Coturnix japonica: one gene and its partners. The protein of the gene in region 3 interacts with the protein of the main gene of each other region in a pairwise test. Links are inferred from orthologs where the notes say so. Each region holds a gene or a part of one and is shown on either strand. Other genes may lie near its edges. The genes, in order: MAP3K3, phospholipid scramblase 1, GLRX3, MOXD1, MAPKBP1, CA9 and TRIM36.

Region 1 (4,600 bases), on a different chromosome or scaffold from region 3:
ATTTAAGTGAAAGGATAATCTTGGCATGAAAACAAACAGCTGGGCACGAATGTACAGGAAAACTAGAAAGAGTTTTGTAATTTCAGAGTGATACAAGAGATGCTAAAAATGAGCCTAAACACTGGTAATGTTGGGCTGTGTTTTCGGATGGGAACTTGAAGGTGATATGTGTGGAAACCCTCTGCTCCAAAACCAAAGGCAGGGCTGAGATGATTGGCTCTGTGCACAGCTTCTGGCCCTTGATGGCTCAGATCTGTTGATCTAAGCATTCCTTTACAGATTGATTTGTCTGTCTCATTTGGCGTAGCAGGATCTTTTCATTATCCCAGATAACATCATCATGATTTGGTGATGCCCTGAACTCTTCCTGGCCCTCACTTTAGGCAATTTTTCCTTTCCAATCCAGTTTTCCTTCCTGTGTTTTCCAGCTGATGCAGCCTCTCAGACATGAAAACATTTAGAAAACAACACGCTTGCTGTTAGATGTCTGCTGGATAGACAAGCAGCTGCTGAAGCCATCTGCTCAAGGTGGGATTCCCAGCAGCAGGGTGGCCATCATTGCATTGAGGAAGGAGAGCTGGACTTGTTCTTAATGAAACAAAACCCCTCTGCTATGCCAAATACACCCCCAAGGTGGAATGGAAGCAGGGCAGAGCAGCTGAAGGCTGGCTGCTGTTTTTAGAAGATGAGTTGATTTATGGAGCTTGAGGTAGAATTATTAGCTTAGATTGGACAGGAACAGCAGTTCTTTGCCCTAATATCTGTCTCATGGCATGTTTGTGTTGTGTTTAGCAGGGATGTTTTCTGCTTTATGGGCACAAGGGGAGGTGGCAGCTGGGAATGTTAAAGGAGGAAGAGCCATCAGGAGCCCATCAGCAGGTGAATGAATGGCACAGGTGAGCAGTTCTATTTCTAAGGACACAACAACCACATCCTCATTAATATGAACCCCTAAATGAAAGGAGAGGGGTTGAGTGAGCTCCAGCCTCGTGTACCTAAAGCTCATCCATGTGGATTTACTTTCATACCAAGTAACTTCAACAAAGGCACCGTGCCTTTCCCCATTTCCCCCCTGCCTTTCCCCCCTTCCCCTTGCCTTTTTCCCCCTTCCCCTTGCCTTTTTCCCCCTTCCCCTTGCCTTTTTCCCCCTTCCCCTTGCCTTTTTCCCCCTTCCCCTTGCCTTTCCCATCCCATATTGAGCCCTTAGGGAGAAGAGCCGGGAGCGGTGGGCACTAGGACCCAGCGGCGCAGTCCGAGCGGTGGGCGGGGCCTCGCTGCCGCCCGTCATTCTGATTGGCAGCCGGCTGAGGGCCGGTCCCCTCCGTTGGCGGGCGAGGAGGCGGGGTCAGCGCAGCGAGCAGCACGACCCCCAACGATTGGCTGGCGACTGTCTGAGCGGCGAGCCGATTGGCGGGCTGTGCCGTCGGGTGGGTGGCTCGGCGGCGCTGATTGGCTGAAAGCGGCGGGTCGGCCCCTGTGATTGGCAGGCGGCGGCGGCGGGTGCGCGGTGGCGGCCGAGCGGTTTGTTTTGCTCGCGGCCCGGTCGCTCGGTGCCGCCGGCGGCGGGTGGGGAGAGACCGGCACCGGCCGAGTCCCGGCCCCACAACCCGCAGCCCGGAGCGGGGCCGCCGGAAGGAGGCGGCTGTTTGGGCCTGGGAATGTGGCGGCGGCTCTGAGCCCTCCCCCTCGGCCCGGCCGCCATGGAGAGACGGCGGTGACAGCAGCGTACCACAGCGCGCCGCCCGCACGGAGCGGGCCCAGAGCCCACAACCATGGGTGAGAACGGGGGGTGAGCGGGATGGGGGCGGCTGTAGGATCGGACAGGACTGGGCCGCGATTGGGATGAGGGGCGGGGGCGGGACGAGACGGGGCGTCGCCTGAGGGAGGGGGGGGAACGGCCGGGGGGGCCTTAAATCTGGATGTTGGGCTTAGAAAGTCGGGCTGGGGGGTCTTAAATCCTCGATATTGGCCTTATAAAGTCGGGCTGGGCTTTGTGGTGTTGGTACCCGATTCACTTTTTGCTTTTCAGCGGTAAACGATGTAGTTTTTCTAAAGCAAGATCAGGTTGGACGGGGCCTTGAGCAACTTGATCTGTGGGGTCTCTATGGGGATCTGTTGGGATCTATGGGGTCTCTATGGAGTCTATGGGGATCTATGGGGTCTCTGTGGGGATCTATGGGGTCTCCTGGGCAACCTGATCTAGTAAAGGTGTATGTTTGGTGGCCCTGCTAGGCAGGGGGGTTGGAACTACATGATCCTTGAGGTCCCTTCCAACCCGGGTCACTCTGTGATTCTGTAAAGCAGAACTGACTCATTTGCTGGCAGGGGAATCACTGCTGTTACCTGCAGCGCTTTGTGGGCCGTAGCTTTGATTCTTCCTCCAAGTTTGGTGCTGTGGGACTCCCTCAGCGTTCAGTCTGTGCATGTAATATGTTCACTTCTTTATATTGTAACTGCATTGCAAACGTCACTCCAAGCAAATGCAGGATGTTCCGTTCCCTTTGTGCCCTGAGACGATCCCAGGCACAGCAAGACCTACAAGAAATGCCTATTGTATAAATGCAGTAGATGGGCAGGTCTATAAGTGGGCTCCTCTTCTCTAAAGAGAGATGTCTGGTGTTCCCCAGGCAGTGTTATCTCTGCAGGAGCCAACCTGATGGTGCAGAACTCACAGCAGCCAACCAGGAGGGTGCAGAGCTTCCATGGAATTGCTTTGTGGGGCTGTTGGATGCCTCTTGATAAACACGTGAGCACGGGATGAAGAAGAACAGTTCCACGGTCGTGTTGTAATGGCAATACTGATTGCTTGCAAAGGGAGAGATCCAAACTCATTAGGCTGTTGTGAGCAGATCTTTTAGAGACTGTTTTGCTGTGACCCTGAGCTTTCTCCCACCTTGTTTCTCATGAGATTCTCTGACAGATGAGTGCTGCCATTGAGAGGTCAGTGTTGCAGGTTGCTGAGCTCCATTGATAGAACCACAGCTCGCTGGCACTTCGCAGAAAGGGCAGTCATTTCCAAACCTGTGCTTTCCAAACAGAGCTCCTCAGCAGCAATAGGCTCACTTGCTTCTAATACAGAGAAACGTGAGTGTATGTGGGAAGCAGAGGGGAGGAGCAGCACTCAGGCCCAGAGTGAAGTGCTCCTTGCAGTCCTGCTGCTGAGGCTCTCCCCGGCCTGCTCTGCTTTCCTGCCTGTGTCACTTCCTTCCCTTAGCTCTCATTGCCTGGCGCTGTGCAGTGACAGCCCCCACTGCTGGGGGAGGGAGGGGGCTGAGCCCAGGGTCGGTCAATGCCAGCTACAATCCTCAGTGTGAGGAATTTCTCAGTGTGAAGAACCTCAGATACATATCCCAGCTCCATAGGGATGCTCAGCTTTTTCTTCTAAACCTTCAGGCCAAGTTTTCTGTTTGAAATAAACTTGCTCGTTGCCCCTGGTTCTGCTGGCAGAATAGCCAGCAGCATCGCTGTTGGTGGCAGCAGATAACAAATGCGTGTGTTTGCTTTTCTCAAACAACTTCTAGTGCCTTCTATTATCATGCTATATAAAATACCATCCTGGATCATAGAGGTTTACAGGCTTTTCTGCACTCTGCAGACGCTTTTACTTTGGGGTTTGTTTGTTTTTCTTTAACCCTATTCCTGTTTTGTACCACTGCAAACACACCGACCTGCTCGACCCCGTGGAGCAAACCCTGTACGCGTGGAAATAAACGCGTTATGAGGATGAAGGGTTTTCTCTGTGAGCAGCAGTTCCCCTTTATCCGATGGTAGAAAACCCGTGAGTGTAGTTTTTCAAACATGAGAAGCATTTCCTGGACAACATCTTTGAGCACAAAGCAGAGCTGTGTTTCCCAGACCTACTGGAGACGTAGCAGCAAAGGGTCCTTCAGTGAGCTTCCAAAATTGCTTATTTTTCATTCCTAATAACTTTTGCATTGTGTGATTAATGTGATGCTGCTGCATATACTCCCTTAAAGCCAATCTGTGCAAATCCTCTCTTTGGATGGAAAGAAAGAAGTATTCATGCTTGGTAACATTAAATCCATCACAATGTTGTCCTGAATGGAAACATTTCTTCCTTTGGCAAATGTGTATTTCACACCGATTTTGTGTTAAAAAATGATAAATACTCTGTTTCCCACCAAAACAAGGATGAATTCTCTTCTGTATATTGTCTGAGGGAGATGGTAGCCCAGTCTGTGATACTAACATCACATAAGCTCCACCTGCTGCTGCGTGGCATAGCGTGGCTGTGTGCTGTAAGATCATAGCATTAGTGCTTGCCTGCAGGTGAATGGAGCACCCAGCAGTGCTGCGACCCTTCCTGCTCACCAGGGGGTTCTGCTGCTACCCAGGTGCTGCCATGAAGAGTTTCACGTTGCAGAGTTGTGTCAGTGCACAAGTGAGCTAGTAAGTAGTTGCACATCTAAGCTGCAGCCTGCATCAGGAGGCTGTGGATGCCCCATCCCTGCAGGCATTCAAGGCCAGGCTGGATGTGGCTCTGGGCAGCCTGGGCTGCTGGGTGGTGACCCTGCACATAGCAGGGGGTTGGAAATGGATGAACATTGTGGTCCTTTTGAACCCAGGCCATTCCATGATG
Region 2 (3,414 bases), on a different chromosome or scaffold from region 3:
TTAGTATACCAGTTCAAGCAAATCTGCAAGGCTTAGCTTCTTTCTTACAATAAATATTTTCCCTATATGGTTTGATGTGAGAGACAGATGTTATTGTTTTTTGTCTGATTTTGCATGCAGATTGGACTGAAGGTGCTTTCAGGCCTTACACTGAACATCTAAGCACAGCAATATTGGAAACACAAGATTCTGAGTTACCTGGAGGAATGAATATAGGCCCCTAGTTATGTCCCGTTAGCCCAAGGTTCCTATTACCTTGCTGATATTTGCATTCACTCTTAAATTGGTCCCTTGATAAAAAATTGATGACAAGATACTTTTCAGCAAGTATTAGGAACAAATGCTTGTGGTTGCTTCTTTTTAACAGTCTCCTCTAGCTTCTGTTGGTGAAAATCAAAACCTTAAGTTTCAAAAGAGCCAAAATTAGGGAACTAAATGAATCATATGAGAGCAGACTCATAACTAGATTAATACAATTTTTACAGTGTATTTTGATAGTTCTGTTTGTTTAGATTACTTTGTTTTGAATGTATATACTTGGTAAGCTGGAAACAACAGAATACTAACACCAAGCCAAAACTACCAAAGAAGGATACATACGAAACGATCAGAACCTCTTTATTAGGCTGACTGCTTATATTATTATTGAACAAAGAAATAGATCTCTTTTTTAAGAATTAAGTTTTTAATACAACAATTCCAAATTTCTTGGAAAAAAGGCTGCTATATATTTCTATACATTACATTATTTATCTGTACAGACAAAAAGTGCTTATTTGAATACAACAGTGTCATTAGATTACAGAACTAGAAGCTAGACAATAAAGCTTTTAGTTTATAGAAATATAATTACAAGTGCAAAAGGTCCATCTCTCACATTCTCACTGGAGCTCTGTAATCCTCTGGCAAGTGGGTGGTTTATTTTCTTCCTTCTAAATACAAAGTTCTAGATTTCACTGCCACACTCCCGTTCGCTGATGGCTGTCACCAATGCTCTCAAAAAACATGAAGTCCTAGGAAGGAAACAAAAAGCAAACAAACTCAATCCTTTTAAAATCTAGATCTTGGTTTGTGGTACTTTTGCAGGTATTCAAAGCAATTACTCCCCAGAAACCTTACATGACAAGAAGCAGCTGGGAATACCTCTCTCCAACCTAATTCCTGAGTCTCTTGTAGAGAAAACGAGGAATCCACAACAAGAGAAAAAAAAAAGTGGTAGAAGACTGAGATGTTTAACTTTATCATTAGCAGAAGGCATGTTTCCTTTACTTAGGATTTCCATCCTAACTTCCTTCAACCTGACTCAAGTCCCTTCAATATTACCTCAAACTGGATTCTGCCATAAAGGTCTCTATCTTTACAAAGAGGAGCCCCATATTCTGTGCCTGAGGTCCATGCTTCTTCATACTCCCTACTCTTCACCTACATCCTTGCACCTGAACACACACAGCTAAGGAAAACCTGGTCCATATGCAGGGCTGTAAAAGCTGGTGAGAACTTTCCAAATGCAGATGCTGCAACAAGCTCTTCCTGCCCTTCCAGAGCCCTACCAAAACAGAAACAGAGCACTTCTGAAGCAGTGCCTGATGCTGAATTGCACAGGTAAGTGGAAACACAAGCATGGCAGAGTCAGAATGCTGATGAGGACAGTATGAAGTTAGATGTATTTTGCCCCCATATAAGACTCTGCCCATAGAAACGATCCCTCTGAGAGTATTTAATCCTATTCATCTCGGTGCTTCATGTATTTCCAAGAAGGATGAACTGGATGCAGCACCTATCAGTGGTTCACCACCTCAGTGGGCTGTTCCAGCCTTGGTTGGGCCTCCTGGCTAATGCTGTTCTTTACTTTTCTGGTCTCACCATCCACATAAACATGCTTGCCTCTGCTTATGAGTCTGTAAAGTTGTCTTTTATGGGGCTTGTTAATCTGATTGTGTATAAAGCTCCTTTTAATGTAGTCAGCACTTCATGTAGACTAGAATAAGCTTATTATCCAAAATATTCCCTCCAGGGTTAGTTTTACACACAAGAAATTGACCAAAAGCTCTCAAGCGCTTCAAGGAGCCCAAAATCAAAACCTTTATCAACACAATTTAAACACTGAGATGAAGTCAGTTCATATTCAAATATCAGTAAGCTACAGACTTACGATAAGGAAGCAAGCACCGAGCATGACAGCTTTCATTTTTACATCAAGGTCCATTGGAAATGAGACTCCAAAGTTATCAGTATCTGTAAATGCTTCTTTCAAAAACCCAGACCACTGCTTAGAAATCCTCCCAATAGTAGCATCCTCATCCAAAGTCTTCACCTATTTCAACATAAAATTTAAAAAAAGAAGTTATTAAAGAATCCACAAATTCTTTTAATTATAGATCCATCAGAAAGATTTAAATTGTGTTATTAAAGTAATGCAGTCACTGAATGCGACTATTAGTACTGAAAGACAAGCCAGACCACCAGAAAGTCAGAGTGAAGTAACACAGGCATCAACTTAATTCTAAATCTGATGGGAATTCAGTGTTTCATTGGTGTTGGAAGTCAGCTTTTACATGCAAACATGTACGTGTGCATGTACACACACTCTGTTGGGAGTACTGTCTTTTAGCCAGCAGAGTCAATTATTATATCCTGCCATGCATCAGGAAAGGCTCAGGGGAAAATTAAACAAATTACATTCTCTCATTCCAAAAGAGAGGTTAGCCCTTTCTTAACGTTGTTTCCTAAAGTTACACCCAGTGTTCATAGTTCTATGAAAGTGTAATCCCCCAAAATAAAATCAGACTAAACTCGCTTCAGCGATTTACAGTATCATTTTAAACAAAGTTTAGTTAGTTTATCTATTAGTTAATTTGTATGAAAATGCTAATACGTTAATTAGTATTCTTTTTAAATAATAGTTGTAATTCTTCAGTCATTCAAATGTATATTTTAGGTCTAAATCATGACTTACTTGGTTAGTGAATGACTATTAAATGACTGGACAAGTGGTTGTAGAAACTCATTTTAATAAACAGCTAATACAACTTTTTTTCCTTTTAGGGACTAACATCATGGATTAATAAAGACTTTGCTACCAAATTTCCATTAAGAGAATGGAAATCAGATCACTGACGTAATTTCTGAAAGTTTGGCAGGCTTTTCCAGAAGGATCTGCCTACTTAGATAACTTAATTGACTATATCAGCATTAAAAGATTATGTTTTAATTATTTTGTATATACCACAGTGCAGTTGTCTTGTAATAAGAGAAGCAACAGACTACTATCAAAATACTGCTTGAAAGAAGATATATACAAACAATTCTTAGTGTTACATACCTCAAAATTAACGTCCTCACAACAGCTGCAGACGACACAAGGGCCACTAATTTTCAGTACATCCATTCTTTTTTCATCCTGAATAGTAAACT
Region 3 (4,055 bases):
TCAGTATTGTTCCTTAGCTATAGTGTTACAGCATGACAAAAAAGAAAAAAGAAAAACTTGACAGTCTTGTGGTAGAAATGACAAGTCTCAATGGGGTGCATTTACCTGTGATGATTAAACTCTTACTATTTCCTTTATCATTCTTTTAATAATAAGCTTTGCTAGCATTAAGAGTAGCTAGCTAACAGGATGGTATGGGTCTTGAGTCTGCTGCAATTAAAGATTGATTGACTATGAGATCAGTATGCTAATTCACCCCAAAAACCTGTATTTTATATGGTGGCTTTACTGTTTTTTGTGACAGTTCACATTCTGAATGTAATCCTTTAACATGTGCCTGTATTTTGGCTTCTTTAGAACTCTCAGAAGGTTGACAGATTAGATGGTGCTCATGCCCCAGAGCTGACCAAAAAAGTCCAACGCCACGCGTCCAGCACTTCAGTTTCTGCTGGTTCTAATGACAGTGCAAAAGAAGATCTTAATGCACGTCTGAAGAAACTCATCAATGCTGCCCCTTGCATGCTGTTTATGAAGGGGTCTCCAAAAGAACCTCGCTGTGGTAAGGATTTTCTGAAGTTCATGTTTAATGTGGCAATGCTACTTTTAGACTACTTTTAAGATGTACTCAGTACTGTGGAATTACATCCCAGTGGTGTCTTGCATACTTGGAAGCATTAATAGAGGTACCATCGTATTGCTTATCTACAGATAGAGAATTGCTGTGTGTTTGCTTCAGTTTAGGAAATGGCATCACAAAGATCAGGTACTGCCAGAAGAACACGTGCAATGCTATCCTTAGACATTCCTCATGTTCAGTCACTGTATTTTGTGTATCATTTCACCAGTTGAAGTGTCATATAGTCTGAAGGGAATGATTCAATTTGGGGTATAATAAGAATTAACAAACAGAATCACCACTGTCATTTTGGATAAAGAAACCAAAGCTGCACTAGCTGTTAAAACTGAAAGACAGTAGCATGTCTGTTACAGCGGAAAGGCTTTTACTTAAGCCTAGTTCTATAAACAGTGAACAAGAATTAAGAGTGCTTTATTCCCAGCTGACTTAGTGTTGATCTGTAGGAAAGCAGGTGAACAATTATTAAAAAGCAAGGTTAGGTGCCATGAAGCTGCCATCTTGCATTGACTTGTCTCTGTTCTCTCACTGTATTGGTCTAGAGATTAAATACTGCAATGTCTGCAGTTCCTTTTATGAAGCAGCTAATGCTGAGATAGGTTTAAGACTGGGTTCCTTTGCTATGTGTGCATGCCTCCTGTAAGGCAAGTTGTGCTAACTATATTGCTGGGCCAAAAAGGTGAAGGAATTTCTAAGTGTAACAGGAAAATCAGAAAAGAGCTAGAAACGGTAACTCCTTACAGTCCAAGCTGCTGGAAATGGGCAAATATTTATAGAACCAATAAAGAGAGCGCTGCTCCAAGTTAAAGTGTTATGTGAAACTTTGGACCCCTGTTGTAGTTGGTAAGGGCTCAGCACATTCTACCAGTCAGGAGCCCACAAATGCTTGGTCTGAGCTGGTGGCGTGGTGTGGTGAGTTAGGGATGTGGTATCAGTTGCCAGACATCCTTGTGCTGTGCTAACGCTGCTTATCTTCCACACATGGAAGATCTCATCATGGTTTGAGTATTAGATTTAGCTCACAAGTTTCAAAGGCAGATATGCTTCTGTAGCATTTCTTGGGTGTTCCATTGGACTGTGTCCAGAAACTAAATAGAAGAACTGTGTGCAGTTCTGTGCAAGTACCTGGAAGGAACTGACTTTACACACCCTGTCAGCTTACTTAAATTTGGAAGGATGCAAATTGTAGCACGTTGATTTGGTGAAGATAATACAGACTTGTGCTATGTGACTTAGAAAAGAGCCTCTGCTATTTTGCACTGTATCTGTGCAGGCAGCATGTTACAGGATTTATATTTCCAGAGATGTGTCTGTAGCACTGCTTATTGAAATCGAGGATTGGGTCCATAGAGTAAATAAGAGCCTTTTCATTAAGTTCAGGTAGCTTTAGGTCATGACCTGTGCTTGACAGACGAGGGAGCTGAGCAGAGTGGCAGCGACAGTGAATCTACTGCTTGGGCCTATTGGGATGGAATTACAGGGAGAAGCTGACACTGTGTGCATTGGACAGGAGAAGAACTGTCTGTCTGTCAAATGCTGGTAATTGGAGGGAGTTTAGTACAGTGCCTGGTGCCCTTTTTGAGAAGGAAAACTTGTATGTAAAAGTCAGGAAACAATATTTGAAAGGGAAGAAGTGACGTGTTGGGTGTGTGTCAGCCTGGGCCACGTGCTGCAGAGATTGGTGCTGCTGGGCTGGGCAGGAGGAGCCTGGCAGCTCAGCCCAGGCACTTGTGTGGCTTGTGTGTCTCTTTTCTTCCTGCCTCTGCTCTCAGTACCTACACAGCATTCCAGCTGCTGTTAAATGTGTGCATGCCACTTTACCATTTGCTGCTGTAAAAAGGTTGTAGAGGGACAAGGGCATGTAGCCCTGTACACATAGAGGCATCCTGAACTGCATCAGACTTCTACTGTATTAGTATTTGCACGTCAGTTATTATATTATCACATAGTGTGATAGAAAATAATCTGAATTTACAGCTCTTAATTTTGTAATTAAATACTATACTTGCTTTAGACTGCTTTGATGGCTCCTGGCAGGAGCTGGAAGATGTCAGTAAGTTGGCTTTCACATCCTGGAGTAGACAAAGCCTCTTTCAAGTTGAGATAATGTAACACTTTGTCAAAGATAATACAGATCTGCTATAACAGCAGTAGGAATAATATAAATATGATTGAATAAAAGGAGCTGTGCCTGTTGAAAGAAGACATTTGTGATGTATATTGATTTGATGCAAAGAATAGACCAGATGCCTTTCATGCAGCTGGTGAGCAGGGGAGGATCCCAATCCATCAGTGGATCTTGAGGTCTCGTGTACTTTGATTTCCTCACTGTAAAGCCAGCTAAGCATAGTGTAAAGCAAGGCTGAGTGCTTATTGGAGAGTGTGTGTGATTGCTATGTACGTTGTGTTGTTTCATCAGATTCTTTTGGCCTGTGGAAGTATTTGTTTGCTTCATTGACAAAGTCGTTTATTTAGGCAGTTTTTATCACTGCAGTAGCTGAAGTGGCACTTGTGATTTTCAAGATAATTGCTGAGAGTGTTTTGTTTGCAGTTTAATTATTACTCGTGATTCTTGTGTAGTATTTCTTCAGAAATTCAACCTCAATCTTTTGTTACAAAACTAAAGCTGTTCTGACACTTTGTCCCGAAGTGTAACACTTCCAGGCTGCTACCATAGCCCTTCAAAATGAAACACAACCGATCAATCTTTCTAGTTTGCATGTAATTGCCTGCAGCTAAAATAAAGCTTCCCCCCGCCCCGTCTCTTACAGTAGAAACAAGTTAATGCATTGGTGATGGAATAACCATCAGCAGTCGGCCTTTAGCTGTTTACTAATGAACTCCCAGATGGATGGAAAAAAAACCATATCGGAATCTGTGTTTTACTTCAGGCTGTACATGAACTTAACACTCCAGTTGTAGAAAGAAAAGCAACTTAGATGCCATCCATAGAAACACTGCTATTTCATATCTCAATAAATTCAGTGAAAGCTGCAGAAAGCTGTAGTAAAAATCCATATTTCAAAAACTAATAGGTGGTCGTGTGAGCTGAAATCAAAGGTTACTTTTGTGTGGCCCTCTGATTCTTTTCTTTTTCCCATTTAAAGCTTCTTTATGTCTTTCTTTCCTTTATTAAAGCCTTTAAGCATTGTCTTTTATTTAACACTTGTGTAGAGGTTTTCATTTGTCTGCACAGGGTTTGTAGGAGTTCTTTTAGGGAACTGATGGAATTGCAAGGACATTTGACTCTGATGCAAAATGAGCTGACAAAGAAATGAAACATACATTATCATCATGTTGTTTCATGGGCAAATTCTCGTGGATTACTTTAGCAAGCCCTACAAGTTATGTAGGAGGATGTATGTCATTAGAAGGGATGAGCGTGAGAGCAACTGCAGGAGGTGTTGGAATAGTTAGGATA
Region 4 (3,703 bases), on a different chromosome or scaffold from region 3:
AATTTAGAGAAGTGATTTCTTCTTATATTTCTTCTTTCTTCTTGCTCTGTAGGGGAGATTGTATTGGCTACATAAGGAAGCCTCCAGAATCTGCTCTTTAATTCATATATCTAAACCACTTAAATCTATACAAATCTTCCAACATCTCTTTTCTGTTGGTACTGTATCTTAAAGATATCTGTAGTAGTGGGTCAGAAAAATGCATCAAGCATTGCCCATCTTTTTATGCATTCTTTCTTGGAAGATTTATAACTTTGATAGTTTTCCTTTACCTGTACTTTTGATGAAAAAACTGTAAGATAAAAATAATTTCCCATTAATTTGTTATTTATTCTAAATTAATGTTATATTAGCAGGACCTCTGGGAAAAACTCTTATCATTAATGTTGATATGTGCTTGTAAATAACTACTAGTGTCATCCGCTGGAAAACATGCATTGCTCCTTGAAATCCTTTACAGATTCCAAATTCAAGATTTGATTATACTTTTTTGATTTTTTTTTTATTTTTTTCTCCCCAGAGGGGAAATTGTCTTATTCTGCTAGTTCATTTCCTAACTGATTTTAATCCAGCTTAACAGAGCTGATGCTAAATACTACTCATGAGAGAGGACCTAGGAAATTGTCACTCTGCAGAAAAGCTTCTGTTGCTTCTGAGATGTCACACAGTAGTTTCAGGTAGTGGAGAAATTCCCCTTCCAGCAGCAGTGTCCTAAGGTCTCTCAAACATTGGACTGTTCTGCCCATGGGAGGGCAGTAAAATACTGTGAGCTATAAGTAATCAAAGAGATCCAGATATATGTTTTTTTTAATATTTTCCCCACTGCAGACTTTCTGTGAAGAGTAGTTATTGAATACATGCAATAATAGAGCAAGTGACTATTCGTTGGTTTGGGGTAAGATTCTTGGCTAATTGCTGTCCAGTAGCAGCTACTTAGCCACTTTTTCACTGATTATTAGTGAGAGAACAATTAAAGAAGATGGAAAACACTCAGAATTTTTATCAGGAGTGGATAGGCTTCTTTATTCTTTGAGTGGTTTGCTTTCTGGAAAATGCTGTTTCACTTTATCTTACAGGATGAAGGAATAGTATTTGGGTCTTAATTTTCTCAAAGACCGAGTTCATTGGAACTGGGAGTACTTAGTTCTCTCTTTATCACTAGTTTCCTATTTCAAATGACTCAGTCATATTCTTCAAAGCTGAGATTAGGGCTCTTTCCTTTTCCTTCCCTAAGTAGGGATATTACATGTAATTGGCTGTACTCATCAAAATCAGAAACAGATTTAACCTGAAAGGCTATGCAGCGAGTTGTCACAAGAAGGTAAAAACATGAAGTGGAGGAAGTGAACTGAAAATTCCTTTATCCTACTATAGGGATAGCCTAATAATCAGTTTTATCTTTGTCTAGGAATAAGCCAGTATTTGGATTATTCTTTCTCTGAAGTGCAGGATAATTGCAATGTAGAGAAAACCACCGAGCATGTATTGTACAGTTGGACATTCAGACCTTCAAAAATATTTGTGCCCAGGGGTTCACTCATCATAGAACTAATTTTCTTCAACATAAACCTGACAATGTTTCATTTAATTCAGGAATTAAACCATGTAAGCATGGAGTAGATTTAGGAGATTTATAACTAAGTGGCGCACCTAAATCTCTCTGATTCCATGTCAAAGCCAGGACAGACAGGTAGATGCCATACTCCATAAAAATTACACTGAGTTCTAAGAGAAGAGTAAAAATGCCCAATATATAGAAGCATGACATAGCTCTGGGTGGCCCTGCTTGAGTCGAGAGTTGAAACAGATGGCCTCCAGAGGTCCTTGCCAATCTCAGTCATCCTGATTCTGTAGAACTAAAGTGATAAAAATGTGAGCACCATCAACTGCCTTCTACATATAAGTAAAAGCCTTGTATGTGCAAATGAATGCTTTCAGATATTATCCAATATCTCAGTAGCACTGTAACACTGTAATCTTCCATTTTCATCTTCCAGAAAGATGAAAACAAAAACCAAACCAGCCAGAAAATCCCACAAAACATAGCAAGGTCATGCAGATCAATAAACAAAAGCCTAACCTTGTTTACTGGAGAGGATGCCAGTGTACACAGCTGTTTCCAAGCTGAAAACAGTAGATCCACTCACTGGCTGATCATTTGACAAGTAATATATTAGTATTTTTACTGAGTTTGATGTCTTCACAGTAAGATCCACAACTACAATACAAAGCTAACAACAGATTCTTGTGCAAGCTCTGACGGATCTAATCTTATATGATGAAACTGATAATTTTTCATTTTAATTGCAGTTCCAAGGCATGACAGCTTTTCCTCCTGAGGTAGAGAGACCATACAAGACAGAACCAGTAATATGCAGTTCATCTTCCTGTTTACCTTGCAGTTTATCCCTCGCTCTGTTGTTTGTGGTACATGTCACATACAGTACCATAGGAAACTTTGGGCCCTTTGTACAATAATTTTTATTCATTTGTGTTCTGTATGCCATGCAAGTTCTGATGTGTTTGCACTGTTGCTGTTGTAGATTTATTTTTTTACATATTAATAAACTAAATTTGCTAGTTCAAAATAAAATGTGTACTTTGTTTGAAAACTGTGGTTTACTTGGTTTTCAATGTAAAGTATATACAAAACACAGTAGGTACACTGGCACGTTGCATATTGAAATCTTTTCACATACAGTTTTGTTACACTTTGTCCTGGCTCTTCACATCATGTTTTCAATACCAACTATGTATATGGGTGAAATTAATAAACTAAAAGAAACTTAGTTAATCACATTCAACCTGGAGTATGCTTTATTATTTTGTCTTGGTTCTTGATATGTGCAGGTTAAGAAGTAAACATGTACTTGGGTATTTCTGACTGGCACATGTAGTACAGCCACAGGGAGGATTTATTCAGGGGAACATGTCTAGGAGCAACACGTTGCAACTGGTCACTCCTCTTATAAGAAACAAGTTGCCACAGTTGTTAAATGGATGAAAATAGGGACAAAACCCCAAAATTCCCCATAGGGATTCTTGTACAAGGAGTCCCTGGCTAACCAGGGGATTCTCTCCTCATTTCTTCTCTTCATCTTTTCTTCAGTCCCTGACAGTTCAGTGTTTCTTTCTTCTTAAGGTATTGGGTAGGGTCAAGCAGAGCTTTGGTGAGGCTAGCACACACTTGTTGTACACAACCTTGATATAGCAGAACTGATGAAGATCAATCTTTCTCAATGCTCGGTACTGGTATGCACAGAGAAGGGAGTCCAAGCCTGCCTGCCAGCAGCTATTGTTAGCACATGCCAAGCATCCTGATATGCCAAAGTGTTGATAAAGAGCTTATTTTTTGCATACCACACACCTTGTATGACTTTTTTTTTTTTTTTTTTTTTTTTTTAAATGTGAAAATCTGTGTCTTCTTTACTGAGATGTTGTTCAGGAGGGAAATTTTCCTAAAGATACCTAATTAATTCCCAATGATATTATGCAACACACTGGAAAAGGACTTACTTTGTCCCTAAGCCCTCATTTCCATAGGCACACAGTAGCTGCAGTTAACTATACATTTTCCACATTTCAGCATAAACATTACTGGAGGTCAGCTGTGAAAATAAGGTCTTTTTGGGTGTTTAGAGTGCTTCCCTGACCACTGCAGTACCAGCACTACAACTAATCTCTGTAGACATAGTTACATAGA
Region 5 (4,055 bases), on a different chromosome or scaffold from region 3:
TAGTACAAGTCCACGGAAAGAAAGGTTAGCAAGGACACCTGCAACACTCAATGAGGCAGATTTACATTAGGGACAAAAGCAGTTGGAAAGCTCTGAAAGCACTCCACATACTGCCACATTGCAAAGAACTGAGCAGCAGTGATCAGGCAAGGTAACAGTGACAACTGCAGATTATTCAGCCCTGGATTCCACTGAAGAAATAAGCCATCCTACACCAGTCTGGCTGGCCCAGTAGTAAAAAAGGCTGCACTGCAAATCCCCAGTCACAGAAAGAGAAAGCAAAGCTAATCAACATATTGCATTTCTGAGTGCCACAGGGCTTCAAAGAGATGACAGCCAGGACAGCAAAATGAAAGAAGACTGCTTCAAGCTTCCAGCCCACAGAACAAACTGATGCAGTCTAGCTACCTTTAAGCGAACGCCACAGACGGTAGCATTCTCTCATGCACATGAAAGCTTGTTACTTGCATTAGTTTTATAAAGCGGGAGTATAAATAAGAAGCGGTTTTTAAGCTCTACCTTAAAATAAACGCAAGTAAATTAGGAGATTATAGAAAGGAGTGAGAATTACAGGGGAAGGTACTGAAGAGTTTCACTGTTGGTACACTGGGGGGGCGGGGGAGGGTGTTGTTTGTTTTATAGCTTATTGTTGACTAATAAAATATCACTGGACAGTTTTAAGTCATAATAAATAAAAGTTAGCAGAGTCTTAGAGAAGGTGAGAAGAATACTGTACACACAAATGCAAGAGGTGATGATTTTCCATGTCAGCCAAGAAATCAATGGAGAGAGGCTGGGGGTGGGAATGGCAATAATCACATTCAAAAATATTTTGGTATATTCTTGGAAAACCATTTTCTGTGGGTAGCTGAAACAGAAATACAAAATGGACAAGAATCCCAGCTCTCTTGGGATGTAAGTATTCTGTTTTCCTGGAACAACAAGAAAAAATACCTTTTCTATCAAGCCTGTGAAATCAACAAATCATACAAGACAAGCAGTTGCACTGAAGAACTCTCACATCCAGAGTTATGCTGTTGGAAACCAGGCTTTCCGTGTGATCTCTCCACAAATCAATCATATCCCCAAATTTACCAGTATTGATAACATCAAAGTTGATATCCAATTCCTAAATGTGAAAGGTGGCTGAAACGAACTTTCCTATTTGTATATAACCCCCTTTTAAAAATGTCTGCAGAAGAACATCAACGTAACATCAAATTCCAGATTAAAATTATCACTACTGATTTTGTCAGGCAACTCCAAAGCTTGGCCCAAGGGCTATGGAGTCTTCCCCCTGGAGGCGAATGAAGATAAAACACAGCTATGAGGACTGTCTTGTGAAACAAAGGGAAAAGCAGACAAGAGTAGTCATAACAACAGTAGGATTACTCCAAGTAACAAACTATGGAAGGAAAAGAAAGAACAGCAAGACAAAATTTAAGCAGAAACCAGTTCATTAATTGCACAGACACTCCAGCCTGTCTCCCTCTTGGAGATTTATAATACAGAGATTGTTTCTCGCTGGGATATGGCAAGAGATTGACATTTTTTTGTTAAAGGATAGTTACTGGTCATAAACATGACACAGAACAACAGTCAGAATAAATTAATAAATAAACCCATAAAAAGTCTGCTTCTTGATTCTCCTAGAGTTTTGGAGAAGGGATCAGCTTCACTTGGACTCCTTTGTTTTCAGTCCGCAGTTCAGAAGTTCTTGGATAAATGAGATTTTCTTTGTTTCTTTAGGTGCCAAACATCCTGATCTCCTGGCTAGGAAGAAATTTCAAGGCAATTTCTCCAAACTCCTCTTTCAGAACTTTGTCTAAAGACAATCTAGAGACAGGAAGTTGAAGACGACTGGAGGGAAAAAAAAAACACTAAAATTGTGTCCAGCACATTCCTAAGAATTAGAGCAAGCCAACTGTAGGAGCCTGAGGAAATCAGTTTATAAAGGTCACCCCACCAGCTCTAGACCAGTGTGATGACAGCATTGGTCTGAAGATCTCTCTGTGGTCCTCCTCTTCGGATTATTTCTGTGCATTCACAAACACCTGAAAGACGCTGCTTTTAGAGTTTTTTGTCCATGCGTCGTTCAACAGCTTGTAACAATAACTCCGAGTACTGTTCCAGCAAAGCTAATGTCTGTTCGTCTCCTAAACTCTTGGAACTTGGTAGATTGGCACCACATTTGTCATTTATTGACCTAGCAGTATCTTGTGGCTTCATCAGTACCTCCTTAACCTTTGGCAGTTCTTCCTCATGCTTCAGGGAGTCCAACTCTTTCTTCATTAAGGAAAATGTTTCTGTCAGGAGGCCTGCTATTTTATCTTTGTCAGTAGATGACTCTGTATCATTTAGCACCTGAAAAAAGGGGATAATAAAATGTAAAGTTCCTATAATATTCTGTATCTCTGAAACATAGTATAAATACTAATTCCCCAATTGCCCTTTGAAAAAGAGCATGCTGTTATTTTCAGTTTACAGATAGACAAAACAGTTTGGCAAGTTAATTGATTTGCTCAGAATGCCATAACAAGCCACTGGAAAATGCAGAAGTTGAAAAATCAAGAATACTGCCTGCCCAGTTCAAGCTTAGGTACGGAGAAGTAAACAGTCAGGCAGCTTCTGCCACTGAACTCACAGTACAGAGAATAATTAGAGTGTGTAAGCACGCATATTCTGTACTCTTGGGCTGTAAAACCAATCTGTTAAAATAGATCCTGTGTCAAAGATCACTCACCGCATGGTAAAGATGAATGGCTTTGCGCATGCTGTCCTGGAGCTCTGATACCACATGCTCACATTGCTCCACACTGATGCTTGGTTCTGAATGGGAGGAAAAAATAAAAAAAATAAGTAAGATACAGATACTTCAATATCTGAGATCTCACAGCTGGGTTGAAAACATTTCTTTACACATATTCAGAAGATCATGTGCACACAGTTCTTATTCATTTTTGTTCTGCATGAACTTTCCTTCATATTACTGACAGATGCTTCTTGTTTCAAACATTCCTTTTTTTCCATTGCCTAGTTTCTTCAAAGTCAGTAATGGTCTCTATAGATTACACAGTGCTGTTACAGTCAATGACAGTCAGAGATCACATATGCCATTTTCATTCATAGTTAAATTCAACTTCAAGTCTTCCAATAGCAAAGGGTTGTGATCTGAGGAGCCTCTAATTTGGCATCCACCTAATCTGAAACCTACACACTCCCCTTTATATACTGTTCTGCACCATATACAACAATGAGCTATGGGAACAAAGGAGTATGTTGACTTATTACAGTGTTCTCTAGCAAGGACTGAGCTCTAGATGACTGCTGACTAACACAATCATAAAGGAATCACACTCCTTAATTGCTCAGGGTACTGTGACACTGTAATTCAAAGACTGAAAATAAAAGGAAGGAACTGAAAAACACCACTTTCTTCCAGCCTTTCACTGGGCAATACTTTCATAGCATCAGAGCTGAAGGCCTGCAAGGCTTTAATAAACACTTCCATGAGTTAAGACGTAAATCATGAACAAGGACACTGACACACACACAGTCTGCAGTTATCTTCAATTTAAAATAGCCTAGACAAAGGGCATTCAACTTCCTTTAGTTACCTAAAAAGCAGAACTTAGTCACATTACTTCTATTATTTCTGCACTTCACAAAGGTTATCATTGAACAGGTGGAAGGGGACCTCATCTAATTTCATTCAATAATTTCATAAATTCATGAATATATACAGAAGATGTATAAATGCTGCTAGACGAATATTCACTCATATGTACATGTTGAAAAGCAAAAAGGTACATGAACAAATCCATCTGTATTCTTTTTCCTGAATCACTCAGCCCTGTAGAGTTTGAGCACAATGGGCTTCAGTTCCATCCAAGGTTCTTGCCCTGCTACCTTTATAGGTTTTTTTTGCCATACCTACTCCCACCTTTTCCCTCCCACTCCCTCAAAACAGTTCTTTCTTCTCACTATTGTTCCTGGATTTCTCCTCTGACCATGGTTTTATGCTGGTCTCAGTTCTGTGAGATGCCAGTCTGGAG
Region 6 (4,762 bases), on a different chromosome or scaffold from region 3:
TGCTCTTTGCTTCCCTCTGGGGCTCAGCCTATGAAGAAAGCATAGACCTCCTATACACACATCCCCAAGCACTGAAGTCACATCTCCTGCCCCATGGAACTGGGTCCCTTGGTGCATGCCCTGGTGCTGCAGGGAGGCATCCCCTGGCATTGTGGTCCAGCTCTCAGCCCTGCAATACTCTGGTCCCTTCCACACGGGGGCATTCACAATCCCACAGTCCTTTGGCATGCACATTTAACCCTCTGCCCTGCCCAGCCCAAATGCAATCCCAGCCTCCATCCCAGCTCCCCGCTGCAGCACGTCTTCTCCCTCTGATTGCTGCTGAACTGCTGCCATGCACCACAACAGAGGTGATGGTGCTGCAGCTCCCTGCAGCTCCCTGCATGCCCTGCCTTGCCTCTGGGCACACTCAGCCCTGGCAGGGGCTGTAATGTGCTCCCAAAAATGTGCATGTAAGGAAAAATGTGCTGCATTAGGGCTTCAATGAACATGCTGGGAGGTGTGAGCAAGGAGAGTCTCAGCAGGGAAATACTGTGGGGCTCACAGGGGCAGCAGCAGGAGCCAGCTGCCACTGCAGACAGCACAAAGGCACTGTGCTTGGCCACGTGGAGTCCCTCTGGTCCCGACTTGCTCCAAGCCCACCCCTCCCCTGAGCAGGGGGTGTTTCAAACCCAAGAGCAGCCACACTTCCCCCTTTCAGCGTTTTCTCCCTGCTGTCCTCTCCTTCTTTCCATGTTGGGATCCCAATGCTGCTGCCGGATTACTTTCTTCCTGACGTCCAACACCATCCAACAACACCTCCCCGCTGAGTCGGGGCGGGCGCTGCCATTAGCAGTGCTCTGTTCTGCATGTCCTGCGGCCTGTGAGCAACGCAGCTGCTCCTAGCAGTGGGGGAAAGCAGAAAGCTGCAGTCTGCTCCCAGAAACATCCCCACGGCTGCAGAGACTACACACCCGTAGCTGTTTGTACAGAGCAAGAGCCAACACCAGAGAAAGCAGAGGGTCTGTGCTCTCCATCCTCAGATGGAAGGTCAGTCCACAGAACAGAGCAATATGGGGTGTGCATCAGGACACACAGATACATCATGTCTCAAAGTAGTGAGCAGCACAGATCAGTCCCAGCCTACCACACATTCAGGCACCTTGTCCTCTGCAAGTAATAACCCGACCAAGGTACAGAGGCTGTGCCACTGTGCTCATGCTGCCCGCAGCCAGCTCCCCAGGCACAGAGCTGGTACAGGGTGCAGAAAATGTCCAGCATTCCCTGCTAAACTGTACAAAGAGCCTCTGCACCTCATGGACAGGAAAACAGCATTCCCCAACCCGATCTCACAAGCATAGCCCCTTTTTGTCTACCCAAACCCACAGCCATGCAGCCCCAGCCATCACTGTGCGCACTGCCCACGGGGCACTGATCCTGGCTGCACTAAAGCCCTTTTGTGTTTATTAACTTTGGCCAACAGCGAGCCATGGGGATCAGCCTTTAATCCGTACCGGAGCTCAGGTCGCCGCAGGGATTGTTCTTTGTGCTGCTGGGGAACAGAGGGGCCCCATGAGGCAGGCAGCATCCCATGGAGCAGTGAGAATTTGTGGGGGGAGGCACAGGGCAGGAATGGCCCCCGGTGTGTTCCTGCTGCCTGTAAAACCAAATAGCCCTGAAGAGTGCCAGGGGAAAGTATGGGGTAAAAGTGGGGAAATCCCAGGAAAAGACTGGGGCTTGAAGCAAAGGAATGAGTTGAATCAGGGGGTTAAAACAGAGGAGGGAGCTCAGATGGAGGAAGAGAGCATCAGGGAGCAACGAGCAGAGGGGACACAAAGCAGAATGGGTTTGAATAGGAGGGAGAGAACGGATAGGCTGCACTACTACAAAGACACCAGAGGTTCCTCAGGCTCCCACGCTGGGAAATCTCATGGAAAGCCTCACAGAAGGCTGCAGCACGTACTGGGAGCCACCAGCCTGGCCCCATGCAGGAGCTGAGAGGAGGGGAAAGAGACAGGAATGCATATGGGACCCGGCCCCAATCCAAGGGCTCTAGCCAGACCTTCACCGAGGGCTGGCTACTGCTCCTTGCCACATCCTCTTCCCATCCACATCCCACCCAGCCCTAGCCATGCTCACAGCCGCACAGAGCCGGTGTCACCCAGCTCCCTCCCACCCTGCGGCGGAGTTTCTCCATCTCTGTGGCAAGGAGCAGCGCATCCCCAAAACCCCACGCACAGCCCAACAAAGACTTGGTAAGAAATGTGAATCACCGCAATAACAGCAGCAGCTCGCGGCACCCTGTATTTGACACCAGTGAAGACACACTTTGAGCCTGGAAAGGCGAGCCCACGGGCAAAGCAAAGCTGGGACGGGGACATCCTTGCGCTGTGCTCAAACCGCACTATCCCCAAATTCTGCTGAACGCCACAGTGAGAAAAGGGACCGAGACCAAAGGGGCTGAGCATTATCCCTCCAAAATGACCCCAAAACTTGAAAGCCCCCTGCGTGGGGTGAGGGGAGGCACACAACAGCACCTCGTCCCACGCTTCCCACGCTGCCCCCATCCCACCGCCCGCCGTGGGGCAGCCGAAAGCCCCGAGCCCCGGTGGGAGCGGAACGCGGGGCGGGGACACGGACCCCGCGGGGGTGAGGAGTTGGCGGGAGCGGGGACAAAGGCAGCGGCGTGCGGGGCTGCGAGGGGACGCGGGGCTCCGTAACGGGAAGCACTGCAGCCCCAAAGCCCAGCGAGAAATCGGGCATCCGTGCGTCGGGATAACACGAAGCCGGCTGCGGGGTGCCCCGTGCATGGCATTGCCCCCTGCCTCGGAGACCCAAAGCCCCCATGGTGGGGGGGGATCCCGCCTGTCGGGACCCCGTAGGCAGCGCTGTGCAGCCCGGTCTCTGCCGCTCACCTCTCTCCTGGGAGTGCGGAGCGTTGTCCTCGTTGTGCTCGTACTCCTGCCCGGCGGCGGCTCGGCCCAGCCCGGCCAGCAGCAGGACGCAGACCCGCAAAGCGGTGCGGTTCATCTCCAGCAAGTGCGGCGTGCGGGACGGCCCGCGGCTGCCTGCTGGTCGGGACTGCCGCGCATACATGGGAACAGGAGGGGGGAGGAGGCAGCCCTGACTCAACGCCGCCGTTACCTTTTATAGAGGCTGGAGGCAAAGTCTGCCGCCGCCCGGCCCGGACAGGTGAGCCACGCCGCCGCCTCCTCCCGCACCGGGACTCGAATCCGTGACACTGGAAGGACGGAGGAGGGGGCTGCCCCCGCCCCCCGGCATCGACGGCACCTGAGTGGCCCCTGCGCAGGGGGGGGGAGGGAGTGAGGGGCCCACAAGGGATTCTACAGTGATGGATTCCTCCATCGATGGAAGCCTCTATTGATGGGCGCCCACAGTGAATAACATCTCCAGTGAGGGACCTTTTCAGTGTAGTCTGAAGAAGTGTGCAGGCAGTAATGGGATGGAGTTAGCTCTGATGTTAATTTGGGTCAGGGAAAGGCTGGAGTGGTCCTGAAGAGTTCAAGGGGCTATGGTGGGTTGTGCTTGGGCTGACCGCAGTCTGTGTTATAGCTGGGAAGGAACACAGTAGTGCAAGCAAGGGTGCAAGAGGGTGGATTTAAATCAGGTATTGCAGCTCACAGAAGAGATACAAGTCACGGAGATGACAGCTGACTGCTTGCCAAGAGAGTGAAGCAAACATTAGGGATTATCAAGAAGGAAACAAAGAACACAACAACAGAAAGAAAAAAATATGGAAAGAAGAAACAAACCCCAAACATTCTGCTGTTGTATAAACCTCTGGTGAATCCTCCTTTCGGTTATTACCCTTGGTTTTGTTTCTCCCATCACAAAAGATAGAGAAGCAGCACATGCAGGGGCTGGCTGGGCACAGGAATGGCTTCTGCACAAGGAAGGAGCAAAGCAATATGAGACAAAGTCTATGGTCTTGGCATCACAGGTCATACAGGACCAGGGAGCCCAGAAGCACTGACTCCTTGGGTAGTGGATTTACAGCACTGTCAACCCATGTTGACTAGCAGGAAGTTTGAGACCAACCAGCAAAGTATCTGTTTGTAAACTGCAGCAGGGAATGGGGGAACTCCTTCAGCTGAGCGTGTAATTTGTGCCTGTACAAGAAGATATCAGACAAGTTGCTGGGCTCCTGGCACCACGGGTTCCTGCTCTCCCCTTTAGCAGGTGCCTTACCTTGCACCTGGGGTCTCTAGGGATGACCTGAAGGTGGGATCAGTGCACTCCCAACCTGCAGGTTTTATCCTGATTCACCTTGCTCCTATGAACACCAGATAAGCCGAACCATCAGATAGGAAGACATTTATTTGTCAAGGCTCAAGGAAACAAGACTGTGTGTGTGTGTGTGTGTAGGGGGGGAGGGGAGGGACAGAACATAAAATGCAACTCAGACAGCCTTTCCTGCTCACATTCCTGTAGGTTATCCTACAGGATAAAAAGGAAGAAGAGTCCTGGTCATTTTAATGAACAAAATGGAAGAAGAGGAAGAAGTCTGGTTATCTAGGAAGGACAGAATCAATCTATCCCTTTTCCGGCCAAGCCCTATGCAGTTCTCAGCTTACACCTGGGCATACTCCTTCTGTTCACTTGTCAGGTAGGTTGCCTTGTATTTGTTGTTTCTATTCTGCACAGCTGGAGTCACTCTGAGGCCATCAGCCTTGCTGCCCTGCCTTAGGTTTCACTGTCCTCCCTCTTCATTACTCTTCCAGGCTGCACGTATACTATCACAGAAGCTGTAATTGCACACGTC
Region 7 (4,844 bases), on a different chromosome or scaffold from region 3:
GAAGTTGGGCACAAAAATCCTCTTACAGCTATTCATCCTCTACCAATTCAAAACTGTTTAACTCATCTTTCCTTCAGTGGAATGCATCTGCTTCTCCTCTGGGCTTTACTTCAAAACGACTGTAAACAAAAAAGTTCCTGATGCTGTAATTGATAACAATACTTGTCCTACAAGTAGAATGAAATAGATAAACCGATATAAACCTAGTGTGAATTTCAGATCCAGGGCAGCAACCCTGGTGTGGATCCCTAAGAAACAGCTGTTGATTTTGTTGAGATGTGGACCTTAGCACGCTCCATTTTTTAAAGGAAATCCCTGCTCTTTTGCTATTGTCTCATTCATTCACTCCACTCTGCCATCTTTTTCTACTCTCATTGTGATCTGTGATTTATAAGGAATAGTTTAAATGATATTTCTCTTGAAAAAATCTAGAAGCATTTCCATAGAAAAATGGATGCTACCAGAAACCTTTTCATGACAGTTCTTTCATTTGTTCAGCAAGCGATTACAAAGGATGGAGGGGAACAGCAGTGTCTGCTCTGCAGACTGTTGCCTGTATCTGGTCCTTGTATCCCTGATGCTGTTGCTTGCCAGGCATCCTATGCATGAAGCAGAATGCAGTACACACGGCACAAGGTGAAAAAGCAAAGATACACTGACCAAAGGAGAATAGTTCCCAAAGCTGAGCATTACCTCAGTATTGTGGTAGTTTGATGAGCACAGTCTTTATTGGCTGAGCGCTCTGTGCAGCAGCAATGTGACCTTCCAAATTTGTTCTGTCCAGCTGATCAGGTTATAGGATTCAATAGGAAACCCATTGAACCATGAAGATCATGGGCCTGTAGCACATCCCTGCAGGGCAGATAAACAAGCCAAACCAGAGCACTAGGGCTTGACAGTTTTATATTTAAGGCCAGAAATCCTCACACCATCCTTACTTTCACTTAGATACACCCATGTCAGTGAGATATAGCTGAAGGACAATCATCAAGAAGGCAAAGGTGAGCTTGCCTTTGTAAGGCAGAGCAGGCACATTTCTTTAAGGCAGCATCAAATCCATTCTTACTGCTGAGCTGCATGTTGTCCAACCTGCATGACTGACAAAACGCTAGGGAAAACAGTGATCTTCAAGGCTGAGCTCCTCAGGGCTAAGAAGAGAAGATCCCACTGCAGACAACTTACACATAGATTAATGTGTGCTAAAACCCTGTTGCATCCATCCCAACATAACCTACTTCCATGGCCCAGAGTGAAAAGGGTCTCTGTGGTGGCTCAGTCCCCAGGACAATGCCTGCTCTGTCCAGTAGGTCAGGAACAAACCTCACAGGCATCCTCTATTCCTGCTGTGTACACACTGGCTCTGCTGCCAGCCAGCTCAGGAGAGGAGCCCTGGGTGGAAAAGCAGCATGAAAGAAAAACAGCCTTGCAAAATTTGGATTTAAGAGCTTCCCAGCGGCCTCAAACGTGTATGCTGAAGGCAGTAGAGCTGCCAGGATATCCCGATCTATTTAGGGCTGCACTGTGCTGCTTCATACAGCAGAAACCTGGTCAATGCCAAAGCACGAGTGTAGGATTCGTGCAGCTGCAAACATCTGGCTGTCACCGATCGCGGCGCCCCCTGCCGGCCGCTCGCTGCCATTCATTCCCTGGGCGTGGCCGCCCCCCGCGGCGCAGCGGCTGCCAGGTACCGCGTCCCGCCATTGTGCGCTGCCGCCGTTCGGTCCGGAAAGGCGGTTCGGCCCGGTCCGTCTCCATCGCTGCGGCAGGAGGAGGGGCCGGTATGGAGGGCGACGGGCTGGAGACCGAGGTGAGCGCCGGGCTGGGGGCGGCTTTGTCCGGGGGGTTGTCGGGCTGAGCCGCGCTTGGGATATTTTGTATTGGGGTATTGGTATTTTTATGTCTTTTTGTTTGTTTGACGGCTCCGGGGGTTTATCTCCGAATGGCTGTGAGCGCGGGGCGGCGGCGTGCTGCCGTGCTGCCGTGCTGCCGGTGATGGGTGGCTGGCATCGGTTCTCCTCCCGGCGGGGAACCCACCCGCACGGTACCGGGTTTTTGTGCAGGGCTCCAGTTCTACCCTGGGTAAACCACAGCAGCTCCGGTGCCCGACAGCGACTTACAGCCGCTGTCTGCCCAATTGGACGCTTATTTTTAATTTTCCCCTAAGTGACGAGCAGGGAAGCTGAGTTAAATGTGTGGCTTGCTATTGTTAAGAAGCGTGGTTGCCTTCGTGCCGCTACGTCCCAAGGTGCAATTAATCTTACTTGTCTCCTTTCCTTCCCTGCAATGCAGACATAACCTAAAGATGAACCAAGTTCGCGTAGAAGCCGTGTGCTTTTCAGCTGCAAGGACTCTCATAAATGTTAATAAAGATTTGTTTGCAGTGTTAACCAGAGCACTGCCACAAGGCAGCTAAAACCAGCCATCATTCTGCAGAGCTGGGCTTGGGTGGCATGAGTAGGGACAGCATCCCTCAGGGTGGTGATGCAATGGAACAGGTTGCCCAAGGAGGCTGTGGATGCCCCATCCCTGCAGGCATTCAAGGCCAGGCTGGATGTGGCTCTGGGCAGCCTGGTTGGTGACCCTGCACACAGCAGGGGATTGAAACCAGATGATCATTGTGGTCCTTTTCAACCCAGGCCATTCTGTGATTCTATGAGCATGGAGTGTCTTACAACTTGTGCTTTCTGCTTGGTTTTCTCCTCTTTCTGTCAAAGGTTCCTACCAAAAGTATTGAAAGAGAGCTCATCTGCCCAGCCTGCAACGAGTTGTTCACCCACCCGCTGATCCTTCCTTGTCAGCACAACTTGTGTCACAAATGTGTGAAGGATATACTGTTCACAGTTGAAGACTCGTTTGCTGATGCAGGTTCTGAATCCTCAAATCAGAGCAGCCCCCGGTTTCGAATCTCTTCTCCTAGCTTGGACAAGATTGACAGAATCAGTAGATCAGGTACGTGTCAGAGTTTTGCTTGTTTTTTTAATGTAATGTATTAGATTGACTTGGGCTGAATGGTATCTGCGTGGGTAAAATGTCTTCTCAGTCCTCCTGATGTGGTTAATTAGACGACTTAGGATAGCACGGATCTTATTCATTCTGTGATAAGAACAGTGGGAAGGTTTTAATTTCAAAGACAAGGCATTTCACAGAGAACACATTTGACTTTGTGGCACCCTGTTTGTAGCCATTGCCTGTTTATTTCAAGTCCTGTTGGGCACCCAGGTGTAGATGTCAGCAGCTTTGTTGTCCTGCCCTATTCATGCTGTTTGCATTGCATTGTTTTCCATTGATGGCGATTATTGGGTGATTGAAGAACTGGAGGCTGTGGCTATTTGGAGGTTGTGCTAATAGTCTTTCAGTGTTTTGCTCAGGGCTTTAAGGTGCACTTAGCTTGAGGACTCGTATCACTTTGTGGTATCATGGTATACAGACTCTGACTGTACTCAGCTGTCTCTGTAATTCAGGGATGAGGTGATCAGATTTTACACAGATACACTGGAAGTATTTTATGCATGCCATGCATCTTAAAAGAAACCTCATCTCGGCTTTTAGACTTCATGCTGGAAAAACTGCCCACTATAAAACCACATTCCGCAGTGCTCCGGAAGAGTCATGTGCAAGACACACCCTGAATCTATTTGCATTTCATGTTCACATTTGTCCCCGTCCCAGTTTTCAAAGTTCAGATGTCGTTGCCTTCACTTACGTGACGCTTTGATTTATTCAGCTGTTCCCTGAAATTGGTTTGATAAGTAAATGCTGTGCTTGCCATCGCTTGGCTGACTGTTGCTCAAAGGAATCAAACTGCTAGTTATCTTCATTCCAGCCCTGTTCCAGTATGTGGTGTGGACAGCCTTGAGGTGACTGAGCTCTATACACACTCCATTGCCTTCCTCAGCTGCAGTTTCACAGGAGCCCACTGGTAACTGTGTTACTCCAAGTGGAGGTCTGCTCACTTCCCCCCTCACCCCCCTCCCCACACCCAGACAGTCTGGTCTTCTGGCATTGCTTTGTATGTATGGACTGAGAGCCTCCCTGGTTTTGCAGCTGTCAGCTTTGACAAGGTGGGTATCTTAGCCCCCAGGCTGGGTGCCTGGAAGGTGCCGAATGCACTGTGGGTGACCTCCTTGTGAGAGACAGTATAGGAAGTGTGAGGAGGCTGTCCATGGGGAGCAGCCTTCTTGTGCTGCACTTCCCCTTTGGCCTGTTATCCCACCTTCATCTCGCTCTTCATCACGAGTAGAAACAAGAACCTGCTGTGACACGGTCCAACTCAGTGTGCAGCACAGTCAGCCCTGTGTGAGGAAGGAGGCAGAGGCTCCTCCGAGGAGCCATAAGAAAACAAATGCTCTCACATCCCCCCCTGCATTGGAAGGGAGGAGAATTTCAAAGAGTTGATTGCGGGGGTTTCTAGAACTCATTTCCCAGTTCTGCAGTAGTAGCTGGCTGTTTTTTTCGCAGGGTTTAGATGTACTACTATGTTAACACCACTGACAGCAGGACAGGAAAGACCTATTTGTGGTATTCCTGCTCCATTGAGATCTATACCATCAGCTTATTGCAGGCGTTGCCATCTTCACAGTAGTCTGTCACCCTTCCAGCAGACAGATAGAGTGTCCTGTGTTATCTTCCTATCTGACTTGTTAGCTGGGGGAGATAAATGCTTTGCTAATGTCTTCATACCCTTTCCATGAACTTCAGGAGAGTGCTGAAGCTGGGAAGGAATTGTTTTCCCTCTGTTTCCCATAATGAGTGTTGGGCAGAGGCACATCATAGGCAAATCATCTTCCCAGCCATTTCGGATTTGCACAATGAAAATCATATGGAAATGGGAGCTTTAAAGAACA

Evidence for each region.
Region 1: the proteins of GLRX3 (region 3) and MAP3K3 interact in a two-hybrid assay, tested with the Homo sapiens proteins (2 studies listed by BioGRID and IntAct). The link is inferred for Coturnix japonica from reciprocal best matches to the Homo sapiens genes GLRX3 and MAP3K3.
Region 2: the proteins of GLRX3 (region 3) and phospholipid scramblase 1 interact in binary tests that used the Homo sapiens proteins (3 or more experiments, as listed by UniProt). The two-hybrid records come from large-scale screens. The link is inferred for Coturnix japonica from reciprocal best matches to the Homo sapiens genes GLRX3 and PLSCR1.
Region 4: the proteins of GLRX3 (region 3) and MOXD1 interact in binary tests that used the Homo sapiens proteins (3 or more experiments, as listed by UniProt). The link is inferred for Coturnix japonica from reciprocal best matches to the Homo sapiens genes GLRX3 and MOXD1.
Region 5: the proteins of GLRX3 (region 3) and MAPKBP1 interact in binary tests that used the Homo sapiens proteins (3 or more experiments, as listed by UniProt). The two-hybrid records come from large-scale screens. The link is inferred for Coturnix japonica from reciprocal best matches to the Homo sapiens genes GLRX3 and MAPKBP1.
Region 6: the proteins of GLRX3 (region 3) and CA9 interact in binary tests that used the Homo sapiens proteins (3 or more experiments, as listed by UniProt). The two-hybrid records come from large-scale screens. The link is inferred for Coturnix japonica from reciprocal best matches to the Homo sapiens genes GLRX3 and CA9.
Region 7: the proteins of GLRX3 (region 3) and TRIM36 interact in binary tests that used the Homo sapiens proteins (3 or more experiments, as listed by UniProt). The two-hybrid records come from large-scale screens. The link is inferred for Coturnix japonica from reciprocal best matches to the Homo sapiens genes GLRX3 and TRIM36.

The regions. Positions count from the first base shown.
Region 1 is NC_029542.1:2,178,592-2,183,191, forward strand, and holds the start of MAP3K3 (mitogen-activated protein kinase kinase kinase 3), read left to right. Parts: upstream 1-1,486; 5' UTR 1,487-1,772; coding exon 1,773-1,776; intron 1,777-4,600. UniProt on the Homo sapiens protein: Component of a protein kinase signal transduction cascade. Mediates activation of the NF-kappa-B, AP1 and DDIT3 transcriptional regulators.
Region 2 is NC_029524.1:9,825,933-9,829,346, forward strand, and holds the end of phospholipid scramblase 1, read right to left. Parts: coding exon 3,323-3,414; intron 2,315-3,322; coding exon 2,153-2,314; intron 1,014-2,152; coding exon 954-1,013; 3' UTR 602-953; downstream 1-601. UniProt on the Homo sapiens protein: Catalyzes calcium-induced ATP-independent rapid bidirectional and non-specific movement of phospholipids (lipid scrambling or lipid flip-flop) between the inner and outer leaflet of the plasma membrane resulting in collapse of the phospholipid asymmetry which leads to phosphatidylserine externalization on the cell surface.
Region 3 is NC_029521.1:30,519,072-30,523,126, forward strand, and holds part of GLRX3 (glutaredoxin-3), read left to right. Parts: intron 1-357; coding exon 358-559; intron 560-4,055. UniProt on the Homo sapiens protein: Together with BOLA2, acts as a cytosolic iron-sulfur (Fe-S) cluster assembly factor that facilitates [2Fe-2S] cluster insertion into a subset of cytosolic proteins.
Region 4 is NC_029518.1:51,616,481-51,620,183, forward strand, and holds the end of MOXD1 (DBH-like monooxygenase protein 1), read left to right. Parts: intron 1-2,310; coding exon 2,311-2,478; 3' UTR 2,479-2,799; downstream 2,800-3,703.
Region 5 is NC_029520.1:22,497,654-22,501,708, reverse strand, and holds part of MAPKBP1 (mitogen-activated protein kinase-binding protein 1), read right to left. Parts: intron 2,830-4,055; coding exon 2,744-2,829; intron 2,365-2,743; coding exon 2,071-2,364; 3' UTR 1-2,070. UniProt on the Homo sapiens protein: Negative regulator of NOD2 function. It down-regulates NOD2-induced processes such as activation of NF-kappa-B signaling, IL8 secretion and antibacterial response. Involved in JNK signaling pathway.
Region 6 is NC_029547.1:8,485,397-8,490,158, forward strand, and holds the start of CA9 (carbonic anhydrase 9), read right to left. Parts: upstream 3,204-4,762; 5' UTR 3,076-3,203; coding exon 2,895-3,075; intron 1-2,894. UniProt on the Homo sapiens protein: Catalyzes the interconversion between carbon dioxide and water and the dissociated ions of carbonic acid (i.e. bicarbonate and hydrogen ions).
Region 7 is NC_029547.1:64,999,155-65,003,998, reverse strand, and holds the start of TRIM36 (E3 ubiquitin-protein ligase TRIM36), read left to right. Parts: upstream 1-1,671; 5' UTR 1,672-1,780; coding exon 1,781-1,807; intron 1,808-2,714; coding exon 2,715-2,949; intron 2,950-4,844. UniProt on the Homo sapiens protein: E3 ubiquitin-protein ligase which mediates ubiquitination and subsequent proteasomal degradation of target proteins. Involved in chromosome segregation and cell cycle regulation. May play a role in the acrosome reaction and fertilization.